Rhinolophus ferrumequinum: one gene and its partners. The protein of the gene in region 3 interacts with the protein of the main gene of each other region in a biochemical or structural test. Links are inferred from orthologs where the notes say so. Each region holds a gene or a part of one and is shown on either strand. Other genes may lie near its edges. The genes, in order: CRHR1, SLC22A12, PDZK1 and SLC34A1.

What was found.
Region 1: the proteins of PDZK1 (region 3) and CRHR1 form a complex in vitro, tested with the Homo sapiens proteins (2 studies listed by BioGRID and IntAct, with this or other methods). The link is inferred for Rhinolophus ferrumequinum from reciprocal best matches to the Homo sapiens genes PDZK1 and CRHR1.
Region 2: the proteins of PDZK1 (region 3) and SLC22A12 form a complex in vitro, tested with the Homo sapiens proteins (2 studies listed by BioGRID and IntAct, with this or other methods). The link is inferred for Rhinolophus ferrumequinum from reciprocal best matches to the Homo sapiens genes PDZK1 and SLC22A12.
Region 4: the proteins of PDZK1 (region 3) and SLC34A1 form a complex in vitro, tested with the Homo sapiens proteins (2 studies listed by BioGRID and IntAct, with this or other methods). The link is inferred for Rhinolophus ferrumequinum from reciprocal best matches to the Homo sapiens genes PDZK1 and SLC34A1.

Annotation. Positions count from the first base shown.
Region 1 is NC_046304.1:40,818,522-40,825,902, reverse strand, and holds the start of CRHR1 (corticotropin-releasing factor receptor 1), read right to left. Parts: upstream 3,005-7,381; 5' UTR 2,536-3,004; coding exon 2,464-2,535; intron 1-2,463.
Region 2 is NC_046294.1:6,934,186-6,941,654, forward strand, and holds the start of SLC22A12 (solute carrier family 22 member 12), read right to left. Parts: upstream 3,016-7,469; 5' UTR 2,854-3,015; coding exon 2,452-2,853; intron 1,772-2,451; coding exon 1,668-1,771; intron 1,240-1,667; coding exon 1,085-1,239; intron 1,008-1,084; coding exon 839-1,007; intron 1-838. UniProt on the Homo sapiens protein: Electroneutral antiporter that translocates urate across the apical membrane of proximal tubular cells in exchange for monovalent organic or inorganic anions. Involved in renal reabsorption of urate and helps maintaining blood levels of uric acid.
Region 3 is NC_046305.1:49,993,607-50,000,681, reverse strand, and holds the start of PDZK1 (Na(+)/H(+) exchange regulatory cofactor NHE-RF3), read left to right. Parts: upstream 1-4,067; 5' UTR 4,068-4,234; intron 4,235-4,621; exon of another isoform or gene 4,622-4,851; intron 4,852-7,075. UniProt on the Homo sapiens protein: A scaffold protein that connects plasma membrane proteins and regulatory components, regulating their surface expression in epithelial cells apical domains.
Region 4 is NC_046307.1:5,237,295-5,245,274, reverse strand, and holds the start of SLC34A1 (sodium-dependent phosphate transport protein 2A), read left to right. Parts: upstream 1-4,974; 5' UTR 4,975-5,024; intron 5,025-6,234; 5' UTR 6,235-6,266; coding exon 6,267-6,375; intron 6,376-6,519; coding exon 6,520-6,669; intron 6,670-6,755; coding exon 6,756-6,884; intron 6,885-6,955; coding exon 6,956-7,099; intron 7,100-7,980.

The DNA of each region.
Region 1 (7,381 bases), on a different chromosome or scaffold from region 3:
CCCCCTCGTTATCCCTCTTGCCAGTGTTCCCCTCAAAAACCTAGCTCCATATTATTTGTCAAAGAAACAATTAGGAAATGGCCCAAATGTGCAGCAACATAGGGATGCAAAGAACACTCATTGATAGGGAATAGGCAGATGCTGACAATCTCCCTCTGGAGGCTTGGGAATAACATGGAAGAAACTTGGGCTATGACACAGTCAGTGGAATAGAGCTGCCCAATGGTCACAGCTCTACCCAAACCTGCACTTGAAAAAGGGCCTAGAGGGATTATTTTAAAAATGGTAACAGTAGGTGTGTTAGGAGGTGAGCCTGTAATAATTTTCCCCTCTGGTTTCCAAACTTTGTGTAACGTGGCTAGATTACTTTTATAATAATAACAGCAAGAAAACCAGCTCCTTCTTCAGAACTCACTCTCCTTTAATAACCCACCCAGGCCTTGCCTTCTCCACCCTTCACACTCACCGGAACCCACGGTGTTGAGTTACACTCGGGTCTTCCTTCAGGGAGTTGTGGCTAGTGGGTAGGTTGACCCAGATGCGCTGGAACCCCGCTCCCTTGGGTGTAGAGGCAATATTTCACTTATCTCCTCCTTCGCATCCACAAACACGCACACACACATCTCTCCCGCATTCACACACACAACCACCCTCTCATGCACGCACACACATTTCTCTCTCATGCACACTCACACACATTTTCCCCACATACTCTCCCCACCCCACCCCACCCCTACTCTGCCCCAGTTCTCTGTAATCTCTGCAGTACAAGGCCCACAATAAGGGCTGCAGAGTGGATTCTTGCCCAACACTGGCCGACTTGCTGGGGACAGAGCTGGGTTTTGGATTAACTCCCCTAGATTCGTAATTTTATACTGACAAAACTACCTGAACTCTCATCTGGCAGAGGTCTAGGATGAGAGTTAAATGGCTTAGAATGTTTTCTGGTAAACGCTAACAAAACAAAGCCTTAGAGCCACAGTGCCTGGGTTTGAATTCTGGCTCCATCACTTACTGGCTGTGTGACCTTGAACAAGTTACTTAGCCTCTCTGTGCCTCAGTAATAATTCCTACTTCCTAGGGCTGTTATGAGGACTAAATGATGTAATATTTGCAAAGCAGGTAGAACAACACCCAGCAAGTTGTGCATAAAGAAAAAAAAGAATTATTTAACTGAAACCAGCATTAGCTGTCCATTCACTCACTGCCTCTCACTCAGTTCGGTATTTACTGAGCACTTACTGAGTTCATTAGATCAGACATAAAGGGTACATACCTCATCATCTAGTAGGAAAAACACACACACAACAACAACAGAAAAAATATTTTTTTCTTTTAGGAAAACATGATAATTTTAGGCAGTGATTTGCACACGATTCTCAGAAAGGCCAAAAAGAAAGAACATTTACTTATTACCAAGTAAACTTAAAAAGAAACAAACAAACAAAATCTGTCTACAGTTCAATCCTTTGAATCCATTTAAGACACTGAATTCGGTCTAACTGATTTGTGAATTTCGACCAAGGCCGGGAGTCCACACCAATCTTTTGGAAAAAATTCCCATTCAGTGCCATCTATTCATCCTCTCTGGATATTTTTCTTCGTACCTCCCTCTCCAGATCTCCTTGATCACCCAGAAAATAATCTCTAGGTTCACCCCCAGTACTCAGTTAATGGGTGGCGAAGGGGATGTGGGTTCAATCGGACCAACCCTCAGTCATTAAAAACAAAACCCACAAAACAACTTATAAATATCTGGGACACGGGGGGAGAACACGGAGAAGCCTCGGTAACTGGTAACCTCTCAACTGATGAACTGAGAACAGCTGCGTTTTAAAACCTCGGTGGTTTACCTCAAACCACTTTGTGAGTTGGTATGCGTACAGTTGGTTTAATAACTGATGGGAAAATGAAAAGTCAACCCGCACCCTTCCCCACAGTCCACTCAATTCTTCTGAATGAAATCGCTTTTAAACGCACTGAACCCCGTCACGCTGGTGTCTGCGTCTGTGACTCAAGCCGTCCATATCAACCCGGCCGAGTCCGGATCCTCTGGCCAGAGCCTGGCCGGGCTCCCCCGCGGCGGCGCGTAGGCCCACCCGCCTTCTCCCTCCGTCTGCTGCTTACGTGCCCTCACCCTGCAAGCCGAACCGCTTTGGGAAGCGCTGGGCGCTGGGGAGTGGAGGCTGTCACTAGGTGGCCGCGGGCCGGACTGTCTATCCCCAGCCCTTCCCGGACCCACACCGCCGCGGGCAGCCCCCTGCCGCCCCCGAACTTCAGCGGGCAGACGCTGGACGTGAGGTCTGGCGACTTTCCGAAACTCCGGGCGCCAGAATCGCGTTGCCAGACCCCAGGCAGGCGCGAGCCTTCACGGCCCACTGCGCAGCGCCCGGTGCAAAGACTCGGAGAGCGAGCGCTGCGCTCCCGCGGGCGGGCGGGCGGCCGCGCGAGAACAGTACCCACCTCCGAATGCACCGTCTCAGCCGCCGAGATTGCGATATTGATCAAGGGCTCCGAGGCGCGGGTGACATTCATCTCCCCGGACTTGCATCTTTCCGCGCAGGGGAAGGGGCAGGAAGGAGCTCCCAGGAACAGGGAGGGGGCGTGCGGAGAGGGGTTGCTGATGAGAGGTATGGGACGGGCAGGGAGCTCAGCTTCAGAGCCCCCTGTCCCGGGGCCGGGGTCTGCCTGGGAGGGGTGGGAGCTTGGACGCCCAAAGCCTAAAGCGATTCTCTGCACAGAGCCGGTTACCCGGGTGGGCGGACCCCCTCCTCCGCCAACATCCCAGCAGCTTCGCCACCGCGATTTCTTTTTTCACCTGTGTTGTCCCTCCACCCACCCAACGCCTCCAAAGGTCCAGGGAGAGGGAGTTGGGCAGCCCCTCAAACCCCGGCCGCGCCCAGACCTGTGCGCAGCTCTGCCCACTGACACCACCACCACCGCCAGCACCGCCAGCAACACGGCTCACCCACGTCCCGCGCTGGCCCGGGGCTGAGCGCGCCCGCGCTCGAGAGCTACCGGCTCGCTCTTACCTTGACGAGCCGGAGCTGCGGGTGCCGTCCCATCCTTGGGTCGCTCGGTCACCGTCCTGAGTGCTTGGGTCCCTCGGACATCCCAAAAGGGCGGGCCGGCGGTCGCGGGCTCAGGAGGATGGGATGGGCGGCCGGGCTCCTCTGTGGCTGCCCGGCCCCGCCAGGCGTGCTCTCGCTCTTCCCTTCCCGGGTAAGTCCGGCCGCCGTTTCCTGACTCAGCCCCGCTGGCAACCGCTTCTTGCCCGCCGGGAGGCCGCCTCACCCCCGCCGTCTCCCCCTGGGTCCACGCCGCCACTCGCCTCGGCTCCCCGCCCCCTCGCCGCGGCGTCCCCTCCCCTCAATCTCTCTCCCCTCCCCTCCACTTCAGTCCCTCCTCCGCGCGTCGCCCCTCTGCTTCCTCCTCCACCTTGTCTCCCAGTCCCCTCCTCTCCCCCCGGCCGGCTTCCCGCACCCTCGCCGCGCTGACCCCCTTTCCCAGCTCCAGGGTTTGCGGCAGTCAGCGGGGCGCGCGCTAGCAGCGGTGGCGGCCGCCGCAGCCGGGGGGAGAAGCAGGAGACGGGGGGAGCGAGGGGGGGCGAGGGACGGGAGCAGAGGCAGCCTCCGGCCTCTCGCCCGGCTTGAAATCGGGGCCCGGGGAGTCCAGGGCAGTCTGGGGGAGACTTGGCGGACTCAGGTGAATCTATGAGAGCAAGACTGTTGGAGGCTGGGGAATAGGGCAGCCCCTACTGAGCAGAGCCGCGGCGGAAACCGGGTGAAGAAATGGGAACTGCGTTTGGGCCGTTCCCGCCCTGAAGCGGGCCACGAGAAGGTTCCTGCGGCTCCCACTTCAGCAGGGCGGGGGAGTTGGGCCGAACCCCCAGAGCCTTTGGCACTGACACGCCAGGTGCTCACAGAGACGCGAAAGCTCTGCGGGTGGAATCCTTCTCGTTCATTCACTCAACTCATTCGTTCGCTCCTTCATCCATTCATTCATTCTACAGACTAAGTGCCTGCCCAGTTTGGGCAAGGGGCTGAACCTGGGAACCCCAAGATGATGGGGAGACGGGGGTGCCTTGCAGGATTAGCCGTCATCTGACCACCGCGGAGGGGAAAGCCGAGCGCGCATTGCGCTACAGTGGGGAAAGCATCTAGGAATCCAGCGGGCAGCGCGCGGAGGAGGCCACAGCGCCCCCTTTGGGCCGAGCCGTCAGGGTAGGGTCAGCCGCCCTGCCAAACCTCCCGGTCTTCATCCGGAATAGCTCCCTAGCTCCCCAGTGCACCTCCAGCTCTGGGAAGTAACTCCTCCCTCTTCCAGCCCTTCCAGTTGGACAGAACTTTTGACTTCTCCTACCTCTTCTTTCCAACCGCCAGAGCTGAAAAGGGTGGTAGAGAAATCACTCTTCCCTGAAGAGCCTCGGCCTGCTAAGCCGCAGCTTTCCTGTGGAGCACTTCTGGTGGAGCACAGTCCCAGAGTGGTGGTCAGAAGACTTTGAACTCAAACGCTGAACCTGACTGCCCTGGATTCTGTGCCCCGCTGTTCCCAGTCCCCTCTTTCCTTCCACCCATTCACTTCTCAGCACATTGGGCAAGAGCCAGCGGGTTCATGGGTCCAACTGATTCTTCTTAAAAGGGAGTTATTGTAAGAGGTTCAACATGAACAGTTTACTTATGAGGAAACTGAGACTCACAGACAGGTGGTGACCTGTTCAAAGTCACATAGCTGGTAAGCCTAATCCTTAGCGTCCTGATCCCTGCTCAAAGTGCCTGTAGTGGGGGGCCCTGATGGGGTTTGAAGCTCTGAGGTGGGGAGGGGCATTGCCCAGGCAGCCAGCTGGTCACAGTGGCTTAGCCACACAGGGTGGCACTTTCTAGATGAAGCACTCAGTCTGGAGTCTTGAAAAACCCCATTTGGTTAGTGCCCCAGAGCTTGTCATGCTGAGTTTGGAACTAACTTACCCCAACCAATTCCCAGAAGAGATGGATGCACCACCCAGATTGCACCAATTTATTGTTCTCAACCAAAAGTAAATGCAGGGGGGGCTGGCCCGATGGCTCAGGCGGTTGGAGCTCCATGCTCCTAACTCCAAAGGCTTCTGGTTCGATTCCCACATGGGCCACTGAGCTCTCAACCACAAGGTTACCAGTTCAATTCCTCAAGTCCCACAAGGGATGGTGGGCTCCGCCCCCTGCAACTAAGATTGAACAGGGCACCTTGAGCTGAGCTGCCTCCTGGATGGCTCAGTTGGTTGGAGCAAGGGCTCTCAACCTCAAGGTTGCCAGTTCGATTCCTCGACTCCCTCAAGGGATGGTGGGCTGTGCCCCTGCAACTAGCAACGGCAACTGGACCTGGAGCTGAACAGCACCCTCCACAACTAAGATTGAAAGGACAACAAGTTGAGTTGGAAAACAGGCCTGGAAGTACACACTGTTCCCCAATAAAGTCCTGTTCCCCTTCCCCCCCAAAAAAATAAAAATAAATAAAAATAAAAATAAAAAATAAATGCAGGGCAGTCTAGTGGAGTGCAGGTTCTGGCGTCAGACAGCCTCTTGGATCTTCTGTTTACAAGCTGTATGAACCTGAGAAATTATTTAACAGTGCCTCTACTTTCTCATCTATAAAATGGGGGTAGGAATACCCACCTCATAGGGTTTTATGGAGGTGCAAGTAAATCATTATTTTTAAATGGCTTAGAATGGTGCCTGGCACGTAACAAGAGTTTCAAGGTTAGCTTTAGCCACCATCACTACCACCACCACTGAGGGGACCGGATGCTCAAATGTGTGGGCAGTGTGGTCCCTCTCTCTAGGCAATTCTTTGTGGAAAGCAGAATTCTTGATGAGAAGGTCACAGCAGTGGGGTCTTGTGGAATCAGAGCTGGCAGGTCCTCAGGAGGTTTGCCCAGGCCCTGCAGAGGCCTCACTCCCCAGCTCTGCCCGACCTTGGAGCTGACTCTCCAGGGACCAGACAGCTCCAGATTTCCTGATTCCAGGAATCTCTCTGCTTAATAAACACCATCAAATGTTGCCTTTCTGATCCCTGTGGTTCTCCCCTTGACTTGATCTTTAAATATGCTAATACATCGATCAGGCTGTAATCAAGTCTTGTTCTTCCGGTCTTTTTGGCCTGGGATTCTCTTTCTAAAGGGGCATGTAGGAGGGCACATTTCATTGCCCCTCCTCTCCCCTAGGTGGGAGGAGGAGGGCTTCTGTATCACTCCAAGATCTACTTATTTATGGTTTTGGCCTTGACTGCCTCAGGATGTTCACGAGAGCCACATTTTTAACACCCCTTCTGTGAAAGGATTCCATATCCCCTTTCATTTGTCCTGAAACTGCTTCCTTCCACCTTCAAGAGCCCGGCTCTCATCTGCTCTGATGCCACCGCCAGAGGTGGTCCATGCCTCCCCCACCGCACCCCCCTCAGCCCCAGGTGCTCCAGCCTGAAGCTCAGGGTGGTCTCCTTAGGCAGCCTCTCCACACCCTCCTCAGGACAGACTGCTGCTCCGTTCCGGCATTCTCTTCCCTCCCTGACCCTTCCCAAACTCTTTTCTGACCCCTTCCTGGCCTCATCCTCTTCCTGTCCAGGCCCAGTAGGCTTTCATTCATTTAACACGCCAGAAATGGAAGAAAGAGGAAATACGAGGTATCCAAACAGTAAAAGACAATTCCAAGTCCTTCCAGACGTGAGAACAATTAGTGAAGGGCTGACCCTCAGCCACCCAGGGCTCCTCAGCTGACCTGCCTGCTTCTTCTCTCCTCAACAATAAGTCTGTATCAATTGAGGGCAAGTGTGCTTACCCCGAGCACAATTACCATATTTTTGCATTTATTCAGTGTGGGGCCCAGCAAGGGAAGGCTCAGCCTGTGGGGTTCCCTTGGCATTCACCCTGGGTGTTTCAGTGAGGCCAATAGCCCAGAACCATACTTCTTAGCCTATGTGTGCCAAAGCACCCGTTCATGGTTTTAACATTTTTAATCTGTTTCAGAATGATACTATTGCAAAATACAGTGGGAATTAATTATTAGCAAAAATGAAATGAAACATAAAGACATGCAAAATGAAAGCCCACGTTTTAAAACTGTTAGATCTAAGGGACATAAACATACCCTGTCAAAGTGCTTTTACATCTCTAAATGCTCACTCTCAATCTCTGCGCTTAACCTTGTCATGGACTGGTAGAAAATAGTTTGCAGACAGCTCATGCTCGGAATAGCACTGGTCCAGAATGCTTCCGAAGTATAAGGTCAGGAAAATGGCCTCGTGGAGGGAACGGCTAATAAAAGCGCATGAACATCAAGGGAGTTGGTGTTCATTGCTGCATCCATCTGTGCATTCACTCAACAAACACTTAATGCGCAGCATCTATGCG
Region 2 (7,469 bases), on a different chromosome or scaffold from region 3:
CCTCTCCACCCCCAGGCCTTTGCTTGTGCAAGTTCCCCAGCCAGGTATGCTTTCCATTTCCGAGAGCAGCCATAGTATGGGGCGCCTGCTCCACACCCACCGGGGCCCTGAGCCTCTGGGGATGGAGGGAGGAATCCAGGTGCCTGACAGAAGTAGAGTGGACAAGAGCCAGTGACCTGTTGGACTGGGGGGAGGGGACGGTGAGGGAGAGGGTGTCATGGCAACTCTGACTCCAGTACCTGGTGGGTGGGGGCTGCTGTCCATGCTGGGGGGGAGCCTTGGGGAGGAGCTGTGTAAAAAGACGTTATATTTTGGTGCTGCGACACCAATCATGGAGATGTCACACAGGCGTTTGGAAACAGCAGACTGGTGGCCAGGGAGAGGCAGGACTAGAGAGGGAATTCAGGGTCTGCAGCATTTGGAGGAAGAGCTGTGGGCACAGGTGAGGCTGCCTGGGGAGGGCACGACAAGGTACTGGCCACGTGCTACTGGGGCCAAGCACGGTGGGAGGAGAGAGATGGCCACGGGATCACGGTGGGTGACGGACGGGGAGGAACAGGGAGGGAGAAGGGTGAGGAAGGGAGAAGGAGCACCTGAGAGGAGCAGGGAAAGGAGACGAAGGAGACAAATCCTGGACAATTGAGCTCTGGGTTGGAGTAGGTGAACATCGAGGGCTTGTGGCTGCCAACTCTGCCATCCTATGACTCCCCTGCTGCCCTGTGCCCCTGGCTGCCTGCGCCCCCAGCCCGCTGCCCCTGGGGCGAGGAGAGTCTCCTATTCCCCTGGGTGGAGGGTAGGCAGGGTCTCCTCCTCTGAGGGGGATGGGGGCAGCACCCACCAGGAGTACACAAAGCAGAGGAAGAAGGGGGCAGAGACTGCCAGCTGCAGCAGCGTCCAGTCGCGCACACCATAGGCCACTGCGGCCAACAGGACCTGGCCGAAGCTGAAGCCCAGGGCGTTGAAAGTCATTGCCAAGGCTCGGGCTTGTGCTGATGTCCACTCCACCACTGCAAGGAGACCACATAGGTCATTCCAGGAGCCTTTGAGAGCCTCCCCTGCATGGCCCCGGGTCAGGGGGACCTACGGAGAGTACTGGTGTTCATCATGATGCCCGCGATGGCAAAGGCAGCCAGAAAACGGAAGAGGCAGTACACGGGGAAGGTGGGGGCAAAGGCAGTCGCTGTGCCCCACACGGCCAACTGCAGGTAGCTCCAGGTCAGCACCAGCTTGCGCCCAAACCTGTGACACACACCGGGATGGTGGCCAGGTCCACTGTGGGCCGCGGGGTTCTGGACCACCGGAGCCCACCCTCTGTCCGCTGTGCAGAGGTGGATGCTAAAGGGACACCTGGGGCCAGACCCACATCCTTCATCCACGGAGGGCCCGTGAGCGCAGGTGCACAAAGACACTCTGGGCAGGAAGTGAGTTCCCTGTCAGCAGGAGCATCCAAGCAGCAGCTGCAGGCAGGCGTGTGGCTGAGCAGGTTTCAGCAGTGAGTGTTTGATAAGGGCATGCTCCTCTACAACCCCAGAGGAGAGACGGTGAAACCAAGGCCCAAAGAGGGCACGAACTTTGCTCAGCAGCACAGCCAGAGGGTGTCAGGAGGGGCACTCACACACAAGCATCTAGCGAAGGCAATGGGGCCTGCCTGCACTAGGGGTACGCACCTGTCAGAGGTTTGGCCGCACACGGCGGCTCCCACCAAGATCCCAGCCAGGAAGATGGACTGGGCCATGGGCTTCAGGGCCTGAGAGTCACACACCAGGTCCCACTGGTAGGAGAGATGGGAGGAGCTGAGCTCAGGAGGTTGGAGGGGGAAGATGAGAAAGCCCAGGTGGGAGGGGGCAGAGGACCTAGAGAGGAAGGTCCCAGGCAGCTGAATGTGGGTGCTGACCTGGTGACCTCGACCTCTAGGGTCATAGGGCAGGGCCCTGTGGGACAGCAAGGGCTGTCACCTCCTGCCTAATCCCCTTAATTGCTCCCTTTTGCCTCGGGTCAAGGGTCAAGCCCTCCCCAAGCTGGCACCTCCTCCCACCTCCCTCTGCTTCTTTACAAAGAGGCTCTTCCCGCTTGCTGGGATGGGCGCCTTTCCTACTTTCCCAGATTTGTCTGATGCCTCAGGAATCCAACGAATCTTCTGAGTGGAACCGAGCCCACACGTGGAGACGGCTGCCTGAGCCACCGCTGTCAGGCGGCAGCAGGGCCAGCCTGGGTGTCCAGGACACCTAGTCGGTGCCGCCTGCTCCTCTACCAGCACCGGGCCTCTGTAGGCTGTTTCCTGCCACCCCCTCCTCTGTAGGGCGATGCAGCTAGAAGCTCCCCTGAGAGTGGGGCGGCCTGCACCGGCGGTCCCTCCTGGGAGTGGGCCATTCGGAGTCCAGCCAACTACGAGCAGTGACTTTGGCCTCTAAGGTGGCCGGACTCGGGGAGGTTGTCAGGAGAGGCCCTTACCTCAGCCACGATGGTGGAAGTGAAGGTGCTGTGGTCGTAGACCCAGCCATCAACACACGGCTCAGTGGCAGCCTCACTCCAGTTGGTGGCTGTGGTGTTGGGCTCCAGGAGCTGCCACTGTGGATGGCGGAAGCGGCGGCACTGGTGGGGCTCATGGTCGGGACCCAGTGGGATGGACACAGCCAGGAGGGCCTCAGGGCCCAGGGCACCAGGGGCACTGGCCTGGGCAGTGCTGTTGTCCAGGAGGGGCACCCAGCAGCGGTGGCTGGGCACGGCGGCCGAGAAGTTCTCCAGCATGTTGTGAGTGGTAAGCCACATGATGGGGACCACCAAGGCCACCGTCTGCAAGACCTGGAACCGGCCCAGGCTGCCCACTTGGTCCAGGAGTTCAGAAAAGGCCATGGAGCCCTCCAAGGACCCCCTGGAGGTGCCCACGTCACAGAGGCTGGCTCAGGGCCAAGCGGCCAGCGCCAGGAGCCTACCTCCTCTCTGGCAGCACAGGCTTCGCCAGCCAGGCAGCCTGGAGCATGGCAGCGGCCCCAGCTTCGCTGACTCGGAGGCCAGCAGCTGTCACTCAGGGTGGCTCCAACGGGGACCCAAGGCTGTGTGGTGGGACCCTGTAGCCACTGGCATCTCCCCAGAGATGCAGCTTCCCCTGGACCTCTGGGAGAAGCTGAATTTGAGAAGGGGGAAAAGTGGAGACTGAAGTCACGCAGACTGGAATTAAACTGTGACCAGGTGGCATTTATAGAATAGGGGTTAGTAATCATTTCCTCTGTCAAAATTTAACCCAGCTCTGAGGGAGGCACAAATGCAAAAGAAGAGCAGCCCCTGCCCTGCGTGGGCTGGAGGCCTGGCCAGGAGCAGCCTGGTCTCTGATGGCCGTGGGGGAGGCCTTGGCTTTCCCCTGGAACGCGTGCAGCTGCTGCTACCCCCTGGCACCCCTGCCTGCTTCACTGGGGAGCCTCCTAATCTTTGGGCTGGCGGGAGCCTGGAGCGACATCCCGTGCACTGTGAAGACCTGTGTGTGTGTGAAGTCACCGGCCACCATCTGAACCCCGTGCCTCCCAGCTGGTGTGGCCTCACTCCCCGCCCTCACTTCTCCTCATTTGCAATCATTGATGCCTGTCCGCCCTTTGCTGTCACCCTCTCCTGAGCCCTCTATGGGACTTTCCAATGTCACCAGACACCTTCTTCAGGCAGTGCCTCCGGCCTGGAATACTGTCTCTAGCCTCCCCCTTGGATCACATTCTGCATGGACTACAAAAGCCTCCTCCTCCAGGGGGCTCTCCTTGCTTAGCCGTGTCCCCCCTCTCGCCTGGAAGTCCGCAATGAGCCCATCTTCACACTGCTGGCACCCTTCTATTATTGTCCAGCTGGTCTCATTCCAGTTCCTGGGAGGGCAGGGGACCTTCTGCTGAACACCCGTGGAACCCAGCGCCAACTCAGACAACAAACAGGTTCCGTGAAGACTTGCTTCAGCTGGTTTTAAAAACAGCTCGTATTTTTTTCTCCTGATTATAAAATTAATGTATACACCTTCCAAAAGACTCAGAAAATATGGAAAGGAAAACAAAGATCACTCCTAAACTTCTAAACCAGCCAGTGATCACCACCCTTAACACCTTGGTGCAAATATTTCCAGACTCTCCTTTAGCCCCTGGTATGTTTACTTCATCAGCCTGGGCTGCAAACTAAGCTTAATTCTCCTTTTGTAAAATCCAAATGAAAAGCTTCTGACTTCCCCAGTGATTCTAACCCATTTGTATTATTGTGGTTACTGGCATGTTGGGACTTACATTTTCTTCTTTACCGTATTTTCTCTTTACACCTTTGTTTCCTTGTTCCCATTTCCTATGGAATTTCAGATTTTCTTGCTCTGTTTGTCTTCCATCCTGGTTTGGCAATGGGACTTTTTATTTATGTTAGCTTTATATTTGAACTCACAAACTAGGAGCTACCATGTATTTTATACCATTTCCTGTCTTCAAACCTCCCCCCTTGTCTTTCATTCGCTCTCATTAGAAGATGTCTCCCTTCTCCTAATTTCACTAAGAAAACAGAAGGCGTCAGAAGCTAACCGTCTGATTCTCTTGGCAGCCCGCCTGCCTTGGTGCCCCCACGGTCTGCCTTCCCTCCTGCCACCGTCAATGCCCTGCGTGCTCCCCCTCGTCCTGGCCAGCCCCTTACTGTGTGCCCTGCAGCCCACCCCCTCCACCGGCTCAAGTCCCCCTCTCTCCCTGGCATCTATCTTTCCCTCCCTACTGGACAATTCCCATCAATGACAAATATGCTGTTTCTCCTCCAATCCTCAAAAAATCCTCCTCCTTTCCAACCCATCTTCTCTCTTCAGTGCCACTCCTTTCTTGATTTCATTTATAGCACAATTCCATGAAAGCATCACCGACACTCGTCTCCAGTTTCTCTCTTCCCCTTCTTTTTTGATTCATTCCTATAAAGTTTTGCCCTGTCCCTCCACAGTTACCAAAGATGTCCCTGCTGCTGAATTCAGTGGCATTTTCAATCCATACCTGAGTCGCGCCCTCACCGCCCCTGCCCCTTCTCCCTCCAGAAGACTCATTGGTTCTCCTTCCCTCCCCACCTGCTTCTCAGTCACTTTGCTGGTTTCCTCTCTTCTCCTCACACTCTGGCCGTGGGAGCCAAAGTGCTTAGCCTTGGTTCTCTTCTCTCTATCTTTTCTATCGTTGGGACGATTCGGACCTCTTCTTGGAGTGCTAAACTTTAATCCAACTGCCGATACTCAGGGGCCTATTGAGATAAACTTCCAGGCCCCAGGGGAGCCGCTCCTACCTAGGGTGCCACGTCAGCAAACCCTTAGATGACTTCTATGTCCCTTTACATGCTGCACTTGACCAGAAGGCTGTCTGTCCAGGTAGCCATCATCAATGTCAAGGCCCCTCTGGGCTCTCTGCTTACTTCCGGGCTCCTTCTCACCCCAAACAAGGGTCTCCTCTTCCTTGTTCTTCCTACAGAACTGTCAGGCCTTTAGCTCCATTTTGCAATTATTCCCGTGGAGACTGTCCACTTCGTGAAGTATGTCATAAAGTTTGTTTGTACCATCTCCACTGTCCTCTTCAATTGTTTAGTAAGAGTTTTGGGAACGAGGATGGGATCCTAAGCTAACTGCGAACGGCCTGTGGGACGAGACGCTCTTTGCGCTGACGGTTCCCCCAAATCACTGCCAAAGGCTGTGGGGAAGTCACTGTTGGATTTGAGCTCCACTCCCTGGCGTGCAGCTCTCTGACCCAAATAAACCTCAGTTGTTTTCTTTAATCATTTTATAACAGGCCTAATAAACATCCCACACTTACCGTGGCCAGAGCTGAACTCCCCGCTCAACATGCGTCTCTCATGGCTTTCCCCATCTCAGCTTTTGGCTTGCTCGGGACAGTGCCCTGAAGTCATCTCTGACCATTCTCTTCCTTTCACACCCCGTGTGCCATTGGCCAGAAAGTCCTGTTGGTTCTACCTTCAAAACGTGCCTGGGACGTGTCCACCTCTTAGTGACTCCACTGCTGCCACCTTGGCCCAGGTCGCTGTCCTGCTTCCCTTGGGTCATTGCAGGGACCTCTTCATTGGCCTCCCTGCCTCCACCTGTGACCTTTACAATTTATTGTCCACACACAGATGGAGGGATTTCATTTTACTTCCATCAGACCATGTCACTGCTGTGCTCAGTACCTGGCGGTGTCTTATCTCACACTAAGTGAAAGCTGAAGCCCTACAAGGAGCGGCCCTCTCCCACCGCTTTAGGCTCATGTCCTCCTTGCTTCGTTTTCTCCACACCAGCGCCTCTGGCCTCTTTACTGTCTCTTGAATGTGCCAGGCCTGTCTCTACCTCAGGGCCATTGTACTTGCTGTGCCTTGTGGCAGGCACATGTTCTCCATGTTCTCCCAGAGAGCCCCTTCCCTCAAGTCTTTGTTAAGAAGTCTCGTTTTTGGTTGGCCCAGTGGCTCAGGAGGTTGGAGCTCCATGCTCCTAACTCCGAAGGCTGCTAGTTCAATTCCCACATGGGCCAGTGGGCTCTCAACCACAAGGTTGCCAGTTCATTTCCTCGCGTCCTGCAAGAGATGGTGGGCAGCGCCCCCTGCAACTAAGATTGAACACAGCACCTTGAGCTGAGCTGCCGCTGAGCTCCCGGATGGTTCAGTTGGTTGGAGTGCATCCTCTCAACCACAAGGTTGCCAGTTCGATTCCTCGACTCCCGCAAGGGATGGTGGGCTGCGCCCCCTGCAACTAGAAGACGGCAACTGGACCTGGAGCTGAGCTGCGCCCTCCACAACTAAGACTGAAAGGGCAATAACTTGACTTGGAAAAAAGTCCTGGAAGTACACACTGTTCCCCAATAAAGTCCTGTTCCCCTTCCCCAATAAAATCTTTGAAATAAATAAATAAATATAATGTAATATACTGACACATAATGATCATGCCATGGAGAGAAACAGGGTGGCTTAAGGGGTAGAGTAAGGGGTCCACTTTGAATGGGGCAGTCAGGGAAGACCTCTCTGTGGAGGTGACATTGGAAGAAACCTGAGTAGCCTAGGGGACAAAGCACAGATGCATTCCAAGCAGAAGAAAGAGCAAGTGCAAAGGCCCTGGGACGGGCGTGTGCCTGGTGGGCTCAAGGAACTGGACTGAGTCAGGAGTGGAGTGAGCGAAAGAGAGAGTCGGATGAGACGTCAGGAGAGCAGCGATGGGGCCAGAACATGCAGAGAGACCCCCCTGGCTGCTGTGTGGAGAACACACCTAAAAGGGGGCAAGTGTAGGAGGACGGTCCCAGGAGGCTGTTGTATGGTCCATGAGAGAGGTGACAGGGATCAGGGCTAGGACGGCAGGGCAGGTGGGGAGAGGTGCTTGCCCTGGAGCTATGTTGATTTGCTTCGGGTTGGATGTGAGTGCTGAGAGAGGAGAAAAAGGATGACCCTCTGGTCAGGTGGGTGAAGGGGGGAATAGTTCCTGAGATCTAGAACATGGGCCGGGGGGGAAAGCAAGTTTG
Region 3 (7,075 bases):
TAGGGCTGAGCACAGCTGAAACCCCCAGGTATGTCACTTCCAGCATCAGAGAGCTTCTTCTATTGACCCCAGTATGCTATACACATATCATAGCTTTTAAAATATTTATTACCCTCAATTATCAGATACAATATATGTACAGAAAAGGGCATAAAACTAAACTACATAGCTCAGTCATAAACACCCGTGTAACCACATCTCAGCTCAAGAGCTAGAATCTTGCCAGCACCCCAGAAGTCAGGACAGCGTGTTACCACCTAAGCAGGCATCTCCCAAGTTCTGCCTGGTATTTGGACATTATGTAAACAGAATCCCAGAATGAAAACAACTGCACGCAGCAACGTGGATACTCTCACAAAGGTAATTATTGAATGAAGTAAAACACACCTAAAAGGAATACACCAGAACAATTTATTGAAAAAACACCAACCTTTCCCTCTGTTTTTTGTCAGAAGTCAACCGTTTTATTTGAACGGGTCTGTTGTGGGGCTGTCTAGTCTATTCCATCGGTCCATTTGTCTATCTCATGCCCATGCCATATTGTAGTAATTACTGTCACTCTACTGTCCTGTTACCCAGCAGAGCAACTCCTTCCTTATTCTTACTTTTCAGAACTAGCTTGTCAAATTCCACCAAAAAACAAACAAATAACAACAACAAAAAAAATCACAGAAAAAACCCAGTGGGGAGTTTGATTGGCGATACATTCATCTGTAGATCAATGTGGAGAGGACTGATGTCTTTACAGTGTTGAAGTTTCAATCCACGGATATGGTATCACTCATCTTCATTTACTTAAGTTTTCTTGAGTGGCTCTCAACAATGTTTTATAGTTTTCTAAGTGTATGCTCAAGTACTATTCCCCTCAATCTTTGGGGGGTCTGGGCAGAGCCTGCGGCAGCTGGCCTTCGGTCACTCCAGCCTTGAAAAGCCTCAGCTATTTACCCTAGTGAACTGTACAATTATTATCAATTTCTCTGTGTGACACGGTGGGGAAAATATTGGGGAGAATTGGCAAGTGTTTCCAGTTTTCTGTGTCTGACCACTTGCACAAAACGCTGTGTTGTGAGTGGGCAAGAACACTACCACAATGCCCCAAACATCCTGAGCTCCCGAGTTGCCCACTGTACTTCTAGCCTGTTTATTTCCAGGAGCCTGTCTGTACAATGTGTGCCCATAAATTAAGAAGGCTTATTCTTGCAAAAACATTAGTAACACGATTATGTACTGAGCATTTACCTGGCTCTGGGTGATGTAAAAATGTCTTCTTACTTAAGTCTCCAAGAAATCTTATGAGGTTGTTAGTATTATCTATATTTTACAGAAGAAAAAGCCAGAGTTTTGAGAGGCAAATGGTAGAACCACTTCCGCAAACATGGCAGACTAGGTCATCTGAAAACCCTCCCTCTTCAAAGTTCATAGAAAAACTGGGTAAAATATATCAAACAGTTTTTTTTTCCAAATAGATAGTTGAACTTGAAAGAAAGGAAAGAAATCTATAAGGTCCAGAAGTGAAGTGAAAGCTGAAACCAGTAACCTAGCAGTTTGTTTTCACACGGTCACTTTGGGACAGGAGGTAAGACCTCAGAATTGAGACCCTCCACAGAACTGAAATCCTCAAAAGCTACGTTCTCAGTGAAAGCATGAGCTGAAAACCAATCCTGTTGGCAAAAGGAGATTCATTTATTCACTTATTGATTCAGTAACATTTTTGAAAGCTTACTATAAGCTAGGCTTATATGCCAGACACTTGGGATACCGTGACAAAACAAATACAGATCTCTGACCCTGGGGAATTTATATTCTGGTGGGGGAGAGACAGAAAATAATAAACATATATCAGTATGATAAAAGAGGATATGTTTATGGGAAAAACAGATCAGGGATAATGAGGAAACAATCTGTTGACCTGGACTATGGGAAAAAAAGGAATTCTCTCCTGCAAATTTCCAACCACAGATCTGCCCTTTAGGGGGGGCTGGGGTTGTAACTGACATTAATTATTTGCATGATCTAGAAACACTAAGACAAGTAATTAACATAAATTGGCCCCAGGGTGTTAGTGTCTTCTCATTATTCTAGGGTTATAGAGAGGTGCTGGCTGACAAAACCCAAAGAAAACCCTCCACCCAGCCTGCCAAGGGTTCCCAGAGATAAAGCCCAAATAAACTTGAGCTCACAGTAAAAAAATTCCCACAAAACTACAAAACTATTAATGGCAGATTTAGGATTCAATACATTATCTGTTTGATGCCAAAATCCATGCTCATAGCTTTACATGCTTTCTAGACCCTCACCAGGACTTACACCATCCACCTTCACGGGCTTGCCTTAGGACCCAAGGTATTTAGGATCACAGAATCTTAGAATTGTAAGGGACCCCCCAAAATCCCCTATTCCTAACAAGGCAGAACATCCTTCTGTAACGTGACACAGATCCTCAGCCTTTGCTTGAATACCTCCAGGGAAAAAAAAACACACTCCCTCCCTGAATGGTGGGTGGAACAACACTGCCTAAGGAGAGGGACAGGCTCCTGAATCTTTCTGAGCCAGATGACCTTGGACACGATAACTAGTCAGATGAATTTCAGTGTTCTTATCTGTATAATGGGGATATCGTCTCCTGGGGTCATGCTGAGCCGATATCCCCATTATAACAGAATAATGGCTATGAAGATTTACCAGGCTAGGTAATCTTATTTCCCCTTCTCCTTAATGTCTAGATCTGAGTCATCTATAAAAAGACTTACTCTGCTTTGCGTTAATCAGATCAAATCCACTTACAGGCATGAGATTTTTAAATCCAAATTTTAGTGGGGGGGCAAATCGCCTTCCGTTCAGTGTTTCACCGGGGTAGGGTTTTTGTCATTTTAAAAAAAATCGCTCATTTCCATGTAATTTTGAATCAACACTGTGTTTTGCATTTCGAAGGCCTCTCTATGTCCAGTCTGAAGGCTGGTGGCGGTTCCATCTGTGCTGGGATGGAGGGCGAGTCTGAGAATCCTCTCGACTGGGGCTGGAGTGGAAGCTTCACTGTAAGGGTTATCTATTTATTTATTTTTTTCTTCTGTCATTCAACTTTTTTTTTAAATTTCAGAAGGCTCAAGAATAGATTTTACTACTGGGGCTCCTTCATTTAAAAAATGATAGCATTATTTACATACACTATAATTCACCTAGTCTAGGGGTACAGGTTGGTGAAATTCTGTACTTGTAGACAGTGAACTGCAGAGCCACCCGACACTCAAGATATAGAACAATTCTCTCACCTGGCATTACAACAAAGAAAACCCCGAAAAAATTTTAAAAAAGGTTAAGAAAAACAAAGTTTCCCCTCAAGGTCCTTGATTTTAAGAGGGACATTGACAAATCGACTGGGTCCAGGGAGAGAAGTCCTGAAGCCTTGGCACAGGCAGACCACCTTCAGGACTGAGGCTTATGGGGGATACATCAGCCCCACAGTATTTGAAGGACTGCTATATAGCTACAGAGTAGACTCAGTTCATCTCAGAGGGAGCCATCAGAACCTGTGGGCAGGAGTGAGAGCTCTTTTTGACTCGATATAAAAAAAAGGAAACTTCTAAAAACAACGTAATAAGGAGTATTTACAGAGGATGAAGCTAAGTGAGACTCAGAGGGAGAAACATCTAGATCAAGCACCTGGGAAATGGCAGTCAGAATGTGAACCCAGGTGTTTAGATCTGAAATCCAGATTCTCCCCATTCCTCCTTTCTACTTTGGAAGACACACAGGGAGCCCAGGGGGCCACAGCACCAGGTGGAGGTGACCTGAGTTAGCTGCTCAGCTGTTTGTCATCTTCCACCATGGACCCTCTGGCTTGGGCCATGCCTTTGTTGGAGGCAGCCAAAGCCCAGCGGAAACAAATGGCCCTTGCAGCATGGGGGTGGAGGGAGAGGCCACCCCCTGCTCGGCCAGTGGGTCGCTCTGCCTCACAGCCTAAAGCCATCTCTTGCCCTGGTTTCCAGTGTGGGCTGAGGATCCAGGTCAGTGAGGAGCCGGGTGCTGGGTTTGCCTGTGTGGGTGCCGCTGATACGGATCAGCTGCTGGTCCCGGCTGGGGTGCTGAGCCGAGCGCGGGGCGCCCCCACACTGCCCAGGTGGCCGGGCTGAGAGGAGCGCGTGCAAGTGCCTCCCACCTGTCCGGCGGGGCTTGCTGGAGAGGCCGTAACTGTGGAAGGGGAAGACAACTGAGAAGAGAAGCAGAGCACGCTCAGGTGAGAGAGAGAGAGCACTTAACAAGAGAAAGGGACCTGGGACGTAAGAGCCCGGGCTTTACTCCTAGGGAGCCAGCGAGAACTCCCTCGCAGACAGGAGAAAGGATGGGCACGGGAGGGGCTTTGCTCCCTTCACTGGGCTTCTCGGCCTCCTGGCCTTCTATTGGTGGGCGTCGCACAGGTTCCTGCTCCTCGGGAAGACCTCAGTGGGTGGGGATGCTCAGGTGAGCCTCAGTCCTGACCTTGGGATGGAAGATAGTGGAGGCTCCTAAGGCTGTGACCGTGGCATCTGCTGAAGGGAGGGAACCAAGGAAGGCAGAGGCTGTCCTTCCCCTGTTCTCCACCCTCCTCCTTTCTGGGAGGGGCTGGCATCCCGCACAGATAGGCCGGTGGGCCAGTGCGTTGGGTTTGCTGAGGGCTTTTGGGGTTTGTCCAGCTCAGGGCTGAGCTAGCTGGCAGGAAGCCGGACAGAGGTCACTTCAACTCAGACCATGCGTCTCTGTTAAATACATCAGCTTTTAAATCAATCCTCGTTCAAAGTCCAGTGAGTTTCAAGACTACAGCTTGCCAGCAGACAGTAAATTCCCCAGTACGAGCCGCTCCTCTTCTAGACCCAGGTAAGAGCTGACTGTGTCCCACCTGGGCCTGAAGCACCTTCTTCCTTTCCCCTTTCCTTTTCTAAGCAGTAGCTGGCTGTTCAGAGCATAAGCCAGGCTCACGGGGGAGGAGCCAGGCCCCTTTGGTGGTGGTGGGGGGTGGGGTGAGAGATTGACCTCTCTCCAAGATTCTCTCTGTTGGAGATGCCCCAACCCTTGGCAGGAGAGGGTCTGCTTCACCAAGGAATTGGGGACGATCCTCAGAAAAATCTTCCCAGGGTTGTATGCGGCTTTGATATGCAGCCAAAGGGAGTGAGACGACAGACCTCACAGGTCACGAGATACAGCGCCGTCCCACTACGCAAGGGCTTTGGGTGTTAGAGGTTGTCTTAAAGGATGCAACGTAGCTTAACTTTCTGGATAATGAACACAGGCATTGCTCCTCTTTTCATTACGTCATAGCACGGAGAAATGAGGAGAAACAGTGATTTCTAGGCTGGCTGAATTTTAAAACGTAGACCTCCAGGCTTTACCCTTTGGATTCTCTAGTTCTTTGGGTCTCGCGTAGGTCGGAAAAATCTGGGTTGTTTTCTTTTTAGCACTCACCGAGATGGTTCTCTTGTGTGCAGGTTGGTAACCAACTAGCAGCTTCTTTCCTAAGCAGAGGGATCAAGGGACTCACATGAGACTTTCTTCTAAGGACTCACCCACCAAGGAGAATCCTGGTCTGGGCTGGCTTCTTGAGGACACATTCCTTCTTAGTTTTAGTCCCTGCAGTGTTGCACCCACATGCTCTCATTACTGTGTCCCAAAGTCGGACGCACTGATTGTGTCAGGTCATGGTTGTCTAGTTACCTGGGGTCACATGTTCTTTCCTGCAGCAAATAACTCAGGGACTTTGAGTTTGTATGTTATGACTAAGTAAATTGTTCTTATCTTTGACTCTTTTGCATGTTCTTTGCACCATCAACTATGAAGTTGCTAGGAATGATGTCTTACGTTCATAGACCACTGGCTACACAGAAGAAATAACATGGGGGTGGATTGCAAATAACCTGGGGTTTGATTCAGTTTTCAGCGACAGGCTATTAGACAAATCACTTCGCCAGCTGTAGCCTCCATTTCATCATCTATCGAAGCCTCTCCTCTTTTGCTAAAGGCTGCACTGAAAATGAAATCATACTTATGTGTTTGAGTATAAACACACCCGTGCGTACGTCTCAAATGTGTGTATCTGAAGGCTCTGAGGATAGTGGGAGAAACAGCCTTGCGGTCCATCAGGAGACCTGGTCCCGTCTTTTAATCTCATCGGGCCTCGATTTACTCATCTATAAAAAAAGGGGTTGAGACTGACGATCGCAGTTGTTCTGTTCAGCCCACCAGGTATGATAGATCCTGGAGCTTAGACGCCTGGCTCCTTCTTGGCACTTGGGTTTGAATTAAAGGGTTACCTCCCCAGGAAGGGCCCTCCCTCCTCCACCCCACCGCCGTATCTCTTCATGTGTAGCCTCTATCTTCAGAAGTCATCTTGTTTACTTTGTATATACCACCTTTGCCAGATGTTTAGCTTCAAGAGCGCAGGGATCTTGTCTTTTGTGGTACGTGCTGTGATCCCAGCTCCCAGAACAACACCTGGCAGAGAGTAGATGCTTAGCTATTTGGATCAATGGCAGTTAGTGTGGCGGGAAAGAAGCTGCAAGGACAGAATCGGGATGTTTTGATAAGCTGCTCTGAAGGAGAAGAGGTTGAAGAACTGATACTCTCAGGTCATCTTGTAACGGTGACACTATATCTTCTATTTTGAGATTTAAACTTCTAGGGGAATTTGATTTAGTAGTGTAGTTTAGCTTGGGACTTTTTGAAAGTTTTCTTTGCTTCCCTCCCCTCCCACCAAACCTTAATGACTGTTTACTATATATTTACTATGCATACCAGTTTTTATGATTCTGTTTACTTCTGACCCTATGCATACCTGGTTCAATGACTTGAAAGAAGTTCTCATGTCTGTATAAGATCCACTCCTATCCCTGAAACAAAGCAGCCTCTGGGAAGTGCCTGACCAACTTCCACTTTCCTTGGTTCTGCGTCTCCTTACCTGCCTATAAAACCTTTTGGCCATGCTGGGAGTTGGGGGGATGGCCTTTGGACAGAAGTCCGCCATCCTCCCAGAGTGCTGACATTTTGAATACACTAACCTAGTCTCCCAAGCTTTCGCTTTTGTGCAGCGAGCAGCCGGACCCTTATC
Region 4 (7,980 bases), on a different chromosome or scaffold from region 3:
CTGTGCCCGCCTCCGCAGCTTGCTCCGTTCCTGGACTTGCATATTTGTTCTTGGCATCGTATCTACTCCGGTCAGCAGCCATGCTGCTCCTGGGAAAATCGCTTTCGTTGGTGTGACGAAATTCAATATCTGTCCGCCTGTCACATTCACACTGGCCATGATGTCTGCGCTTCCCACTCGTGGCCAGCTGCCTCCTCCCCCAGCGCTCTCCCACATCACTAAATCTGCTCTGTTCTCACATCAGCTGCCCTCTCAGCAGACATAGCTGACCAGGGCATCTCTCAAAACTTGGCAACTTCGGCTTCTGGGGCATCCGCTTTCTCCTCTTCCTCCTGGTCCCGGCTGCAGGCGGGGATCTCAGTGTCCTTTCCTGGCTCCTCTTCCTCTGTCCTCCCAGAAATGTGGGGGCTCCTCTGGACTCAGCCCTGGGCCCCAGCTCTCCTCATTGTGCATACTCTCCCTGGGGGGGATACCTTCACAGGGGGAGCCAAGCCACGTTGAGACCCCGGGCTGTGATGGAGGCTATCTTCATGTTGAGAGGCTAGCAGGGGCAGGATTTAAAAGGGAGAGAGGTGACACGATGAGAACTGCGCTTTGAAAAGCTGGCTGGCTGCTTTGTTGGAGGCTGGATTGTAAGGAGTGAGGGCAGAGCCGGGAGAGCATTTGGGAGGCTATTGCAACAACCCAGGTGAGTGACAGTGGCCCAGAGCTCCTGGAGAAGGAAAATCAGGAGAATTGGACAATGGATTAGAGATGAGGAGGTGCAGAAGGAGGTGTCAAAGACGCCTGCTCCATTTCCTGTTCGATGGACCACATGCTGCTTCCTGGGGTTGGGATAAGCAGGAGGCCCCATGTGGAGTAAGGGGAGCACAGTGTGTGCTTTAGACCCACGGATCCAACTGCTCACGCCAGAGGCCCCTCAGACACAGCAGTACAGACAGATCTTGGCATCTTCCCTCCAGGATGACTCCTCCTCCTGGAAGCCTTTTCTCAATGTGAGACACTGCCAACCACCCAGTTCCAGGCCTAGAGGTCTGGAGAGGCCGTGGCCAGTGTGCACGTGACCAAACAGGACAGGAGTCACCCTTCCGGGGGACACAAAGAATCTGTCATAGACAGGGAGGAGGCAGGCTGTGAGCAGGAAGGAGGTTGAAATGAGCGAAGGGGTTGAGAGGCTGGAGGCTGGCGTGCAGCCACTTTCTGTGCTCCTCTCAGGAGTCCCTGAAGCAGCCCTGCTCGGCTCCCACGTTGTGGGGCTTTTGCTAGGGCTAGAGCAGCCCCATCCCACCCCCAGCATTTTGGGAAATATTTTGAATGTATAAGTCCACAGTATTTTGTAATGATATCTTTTGTGATGGGTTTGATCAGTAAGTGCCTCCCCCACTAACCCCTGAGCGCCATGAGAGCAGAGAAGGGCAGCCTTGAAACTGTCAAAGATCAACCTTATTAAAAAGGGAAGCACCCTGGTTCACAAGCAGCACCTGTGAAGCAGGCTGCGGCCACTTCTGTCCAGCCCAGTCTGAGCAAGGCAGGGTGGGGTGGGGAAGAGGGCCTGCAGTTTGGAGTCTCTGGGCCCACTGTGGGGCGTCGGGTGCTCCCCGGGTGGGGTGCTCAGGCTCAGACAGCCTCTGACCCACCCTTAATGTGACTTTAGCAGGACCTCTGAGCCTAAGGACAACTCCGACAGAAGAACTCACTAACAACCGCATTTCCCTAGCTTGGGGACACCCCTCCACCCATGCATGAACCCTACCTTATCCAAACCACTCTTTCCAGGTTGAAGAGGTTCCTACATCAATTAGGGGTGAAAAAAAAAAAGAAACCACAAAACTCATTCTTGAGAACATTTGAGATCTTGCTTCCCAGCACGTCATCAGTTTGGCTCAAATAAACTCACAATTAAAAAAAAAAAAGGCAGAGAGAAAAGGACAAAATGCACTGTTCTAAACATCACAGTGATGGTTCTGAGAAGCAGGGTTGCTTTTATTTTCCTTTTCCTATGAATGGAGACTTTTGTAGCAAGCACCAGGTGGCTGATTCCCTGCCTCAGTTTCCCAGAATCTCCCAGAACAAGTCATAATACTATGAGTTGTGATTAAAAAATACGAGGAATGCTTAAATTAAAAAACAATGTATCACAGTAAAAGATACATTGCCATTAATCCCCCTCAAAATACTCCCCTTCGCTTTGAACACATCCCATCATTCTCGCCACTTTCTAAAGCAGTTCTGGAAGTCCTCTTCCATGTGTTCAGTTGCACTATTGTGGCTGCGTAGTGTCCTGAATCAATTCAAAAATGTTTACTTTTCATGGTCATTTTGACTTTGGGGAAGAGCCAGAAGCCACATGGTGCCAGATCCAATGAATAAGGTAGATGAAGGCACACCGTAATGCTTTTATTTGACAGAAATTGCCTTACCAGAATCAATGTGTGACATGGAGCCTTTCTGTTGTGATCAAAAACTACAGTGAATGCTGCTGCCACATGCCATCTAACGGAAAGGCAGAGATCTTCAATACGGGAATTGGAAAGTCGAAACTTAGTAACGGTGTGTGACAAGTTTCACCTTGTTCAGTGCTGTCAGTCGGGTGTGAGCTACAGGTGAGGGGAGGTGTGTTTTCAAGTGTGCTGTAAATCATCCTCCATCATGACAGCGCTCCATGTCACACATGGCTTCTGGTACATGGCAATTTCTGTCAAATAAAAACATTACAGTGTGTCCTCATCCACCTTATTCACCAGCTCGGACACCGTGCAACTTCTGGCTCTTCCCCAAAGTCAAAATGATTTGGGACATCGAGGCAGCCATGACAGTACAACTAAAGACACTCATGAAAGAGGACTTCCAGAACTGCTTCAGAAAGTGGCAAGAACAATGAGATCAGTGTGTTCGAAGTAAGGGGGAGTATTTTGAGGGGGATTAATGGCAATGTGTCTTTTACTGTAATCATTTTTTTTTATTTAAACATTCACTGTATTGTTTGATCACATCTCGTATATGGCTTATTGTCCTAAGCCGAGCACGTCTCAGAGTGAAAGGGGATGCTGGGCCAACAGTCATACCAGGACTTGGCCAGGAAAACCGGGACTTACGGTTACCAAACCAATCCCAGCTGCACCTCCGCCCCCACCCACTTCTCTCCCCTGTGGGTTCTGTGACCTAAACTGACACAGCCCTGATGTGATGGACCTGGGATCAAACCCAGGCTTGCCATGTTTTCTGCTCTGAGTCGCTTCGACGGAGTCCATTCTGAGCACTACACAGTGGACAACTCCACAATGCACTGCAAATTAAGTACTAACTAGTTAACTTTTGTCACATTACAGAGGGAACTGTGCAGAAATGTCTACCTTCCTTGATGGAAAAAAGGTTGGGTCTGTGTCACCCTAATAAAATACGTTCAATATTGAGTAGGACTGCAGCTTAGGGGGCCCTGAGCAATCAGACGGTAGGTAGCTGGTGGGCCAAGAGGAGTTGTGGACCTGAAACAGGACTGAGAATCTAGAGGAGGTGGGGCCATTTTATAGCCAGGATACTTCAGCCATCCTGGAGACAGTGAAAAGGTCACGAGAGCATGAAGAGAGCAAACACGCTGAGGACTCTGTTCTAGGCACGGAATGGGTCATTTATCTCATTGAATTCTATAACTCAGAGAAAAAGCTGAGCTAATTGCCATATGGTGAAGGAACTATGGCTCAGAGAGGTGAGATGACTGGCCTCAGAATCCCAGGCTGACTCAGGGATTGGACCATTGCTTGGACCAGGAGAGAAGCTGGTCTTGCCAATCTTGGCTCAGAATAGAGTAGGAACTCAACTAATATGCTTAGAAATAGATGGACAGATACATGACCAGCTGGTGGCTGGCTGGCTGGCTGGCTGGCTGGCTGGCTGGCTGGCTGGCTGAATGAATGGATGGATGGCTGGCTGGCTGGCTGGATGGATGGATGGATGATGTTAGGTAGGTTAGTCAGACAGTTGCCAAACTAGATCTTAAATGGAACCACCATTGCTGGATCTGATCCAACTATGATCCCTTAGTCTAAAGGAAGTTTCCTTCTCGTCACTCTGTGCATCTGGTCACTAATTCAGGCTCCACAGTCCTGTGAAAGGGAAACAAGCTTCTGAAAGTCTTCCTTAGACCCTCTGAGTTTCATATCATCCTCAGTTTCCCAATCCAGAAATCCAACTGTATATTTCCTCCCCTCCCACTCTCCGCATCACCAATTCTACTGCCCAAGTATCCCTGGGATGCATCCTCCCCTTTCCATCCCTCCTGTTCCCACCTTGGTTCAGACCTCATTATCTCTCACCTGGACCATCTTATCAGCCTCTTAACTGATTTCTTTGCTTTCAGACTTGCTCCCTGTGATGCATCCCAATCCACATTCCCACCCCTACACCGAGAGGGACCATTCCAAAATGCACATAGGTCCTTCCATGTCTGGCCAGGGGCCTCACTTTCTGTTAGACTCACATCCTGGATTAATGGTCAGGCATTGTAGACGCTTCAAGATTCCATACTATGCAGCGTCTCCATGTTTGTTTCCTGTTGCTTCCTCCATCACATACTCCCTCTCCTCCAAACACCTTCTCCCCAAGACCTACAGACACAACAGGACATTTGGGTCACTCCCAGGGAGTCCTGTCATGCCAAGAATGAAAGGAAGGGACTGGAGCTATGGAATCTCTTTGGGGGCCCTGGGAACAAGATGCCTGAGTGGCTTCAGGGTCTCTACCTGGGGGTAGGGAATGTGTCCCTGCCTTGGCTGAGTCTGGGTGGTGGCTCAGGCTGACTGTCTGTGTGGGGGAGGGGATAGCCTGACTACAGACTCCCTCTGCAGAGCTGACGATTAGCAATTAACTGGGAGGAATCTCGGGGGTGAGGTTAATCGGGGAACAGAGGGAGGGCAGCTAGGGTTCTAGGAACTTTGCCCTTGACCGGAGGGTATAAAGAGGAGGGTCCCAGCTTCTCTGGGACTTCCCTGAGCCGCTGAGCAGGAGCTGAAACACAGAACCCCCAGGTGAGCCCAGGGCCTTCTCATCCCAACCTCATCCCCTACTCCTAGGTTATCATCCCGGTCCTCTCACTGCTGTCCTAACTGTCGCCTGCTTCCTGCCCCCACAACATCTCAGGCCCAGCCCAATCTGGCTCACTCCCCAAAGTAAAAAGGACTCATGGTCTTCCAGGGCTGGGAATTCAGCTCGACACCGCTCCTCCAACCCCACAGCCAAGAATCCTTGGGACAATGCTGGGGGTGGGAGTGGGGGTTGGAAGCAGACTGGAGCACTCCCACCATAACAGCCAAGAGCTCCTGGGGCAGTTCAGGGGCGGGACCTGAAGCAAGTCTGGGCTTCCCAGACTAGGGGACAGGGTGGGAGGGCCCTCATTCCCTAAACCATTCCTGGTCTGAGCCTCATTCATGGGAGAAAGGCAGCAGGGTTTGTTTATTGTTGGGGGGTGGGGTAGGGGTTGGATGGGGAAAACACTTCACTTGTGAGGGGAAGCCAGGAACTTGGGATCCAGGCCAGTGGACCCTTCCCTGAGTGCGTGCCCAGCTGGCCCCATGAGCAAGCAGGGGTCCATGGTTCCTCAGCACTGGACAGTCAAGACTCCTGCGTGGCCCTGCCCCGGGCCCACACCTATAGCCTCTTGCCAGCGTGCTCCCTGGTCCCCTCCAGCCACTGGGCCTTCTCAGCTCCTCCCTGCACACGGCCTTGGCATGCATACTCTGCCCCTTCTCCTTCTGGTAACTCCTACTGACCATTCTTTTCAGCTTGATCCCCTCTTCTCTCCCCCAACAGGCCACCCATTCATCACAGGCACCTATATCTGTCATAGAACACTTGTCCCCATTGTCATTTTCCATCTATTTAAGGGATTATTTCATTGACATCTGTCTCTGGACCACACTTTAAGCTTCCTGGGGGCAGGAGCTGTTTCTGTATTCGGCTGCCACTGAACTCCAACATCTAGCTCGGTGTCTGAAATAGAGCTGACGCTCAAGAAGTCCTTGCTAAATGAATGAATGAATGCCCAATTCATGCTGAGCACCTGAGCGTGCGTCCCGGGGCGGGGGGGGGGGGTCGGGGGGAGTGGATGGTGTACTTCTCTGGGTGTGTAGTTCAGGATTACCTGCCATGAGTGTTTCTGCAAGTGAGTGTGGAAGTGTGGATGTGAGCGTGGGTGTGTGAGTGTGCGTGAGTTTCCAGGACACAGCAGTTGTCATTCAGTGTTGCTGCAGGCTCTACAGCGTGTGCCCAGGATGATGTCCTATGGAGAGAGGCTGGGGGCCCCTGCTGTCTCCCCACTCCCAGTTCGCGGGGGGCACATGATGCACGGGGCAGCCTTTGCCTATGTGCCCAGCCCTCAGGGTGAGTGTGCTCCCACCCCCGGACCCTGCTTACCCTCAGTTGCCCACATCCTGGGCGAAGCCTCTAGCACTCCACCCACACTCTCTGACCCCCCCACCGGACCTGGGGCCTCTGACCAGCCTCCTGACCAGCCTCCCTCCCCAGTCCTGCACAGGATCCCAGGGACCTCCGCCTATGCCTTCCCCAGCTTGGGCCCCGTGGCCCTCGCCGAGCACAGCTGCCCCTTCGGGGAGGTTCTGGATCTCCATGACCCTTTGTCTGCCAAGCTGGCCCTGGAGGAGGAGCAGAAGCCAGGTGGGCCTGGGTGGGGAGGTGGCAGGGCATCAGCAGTCAGTGCCCCAGCTCTCTGGCTACTGTGCTCACAGCTGTCCCATCTCCAGAGCCCGGACTGGTCCAGAAGCTGCACCGGGCTGGCCTGAGCCTCCTCAAGGTGCCACTGATGCTCTCTTTCCTCTATCTCTTCGTCTGCTCTCTGGATGTGCTCAGCTCGGCCTTCCAGCTGGCTGGAGGTAGGGCCAGGAGAGGGCACTGGGGGAGGGTCCCTGAAGAGCCTCAGACAGCACTGGCTCATGCTTCCCAGGGAAGGTGGCTGGCGACATCTTCAAAGACAATGTCATCCTGTCCAACCCGGTGGCGGGACTGGTGGTGGGCATCCTGGTGACCGTGCTGGTGCAGAGCTCCAGCACCTCCACGTCCATCATTGTCAGCATGGTCTCCTCTGGCTGTGAGTTGGCCCACCAGGGCCCGGGAAAGTGTGGGCAGCTGGGTGTGCTGGACAAGAGGGTTGGGGGGGACAGGGCAGGGCTGGGGTTCAGGGGGCAAGAGTGGGGACAGGGTGCTGAGGACAAAGGGCAGAGCTCTGGTGTCTCCCACTCTGTCCTCCAAGGCCTGGCCAAGACTCTCAGCAAGGGGAGGTGCCCCAGGAGCTGGAAGGGAGGCAAATGGGGGGCACAACCCCAGGAAGGCTCACCTCCATACTGCCACACAGTTACTCATTCCATCAGTCAGGGAAACAGAACCAAAGAAATCAGAGAAACGGAATCTGCAGGACATACTTATGTGATTTATTGCACGGAATTGGCTTACATGATTGTGAGGCTGGCTAGGCAAGCCCAAAGCTGGGAGGCAGGCCGTGGGGAAGGGCAGGCCGTGGGGAAGGGCAGGCTGTGGGGAAGGGCAGGCCAGAACTCCTGGGCAGAAGCCCGTGCTGCAGTGCACAGGTGGGATTTCTTCATCCCCGGGGAGGCTGCAGATGTGCTCTGACAACCTTTTACCTGATTGGGTAAGGCCTACCCAGGTTATTGAAGTTATCTCCTTTCTTTAAGGTCAGCTGGTTGTAGAGGTGAATCACATCTGCAAAACACCTTCAAAACAACATCTAGATTAGTGTTGGATTGAATAACTGGGTACCATAGCCTAGCCATCACAATTATGTACAACGTGTGCACACACAAGCAAGACACACATTGGCATATAGGACACATGGCTTCATATGCACGTGCCCACACATATTCACATATGTGCACTGCAGTGCATGTGCATTGGTTCACGTGCATGCACATACATATAAACACACAGCATGTACCCACATGTACCTGTGACACT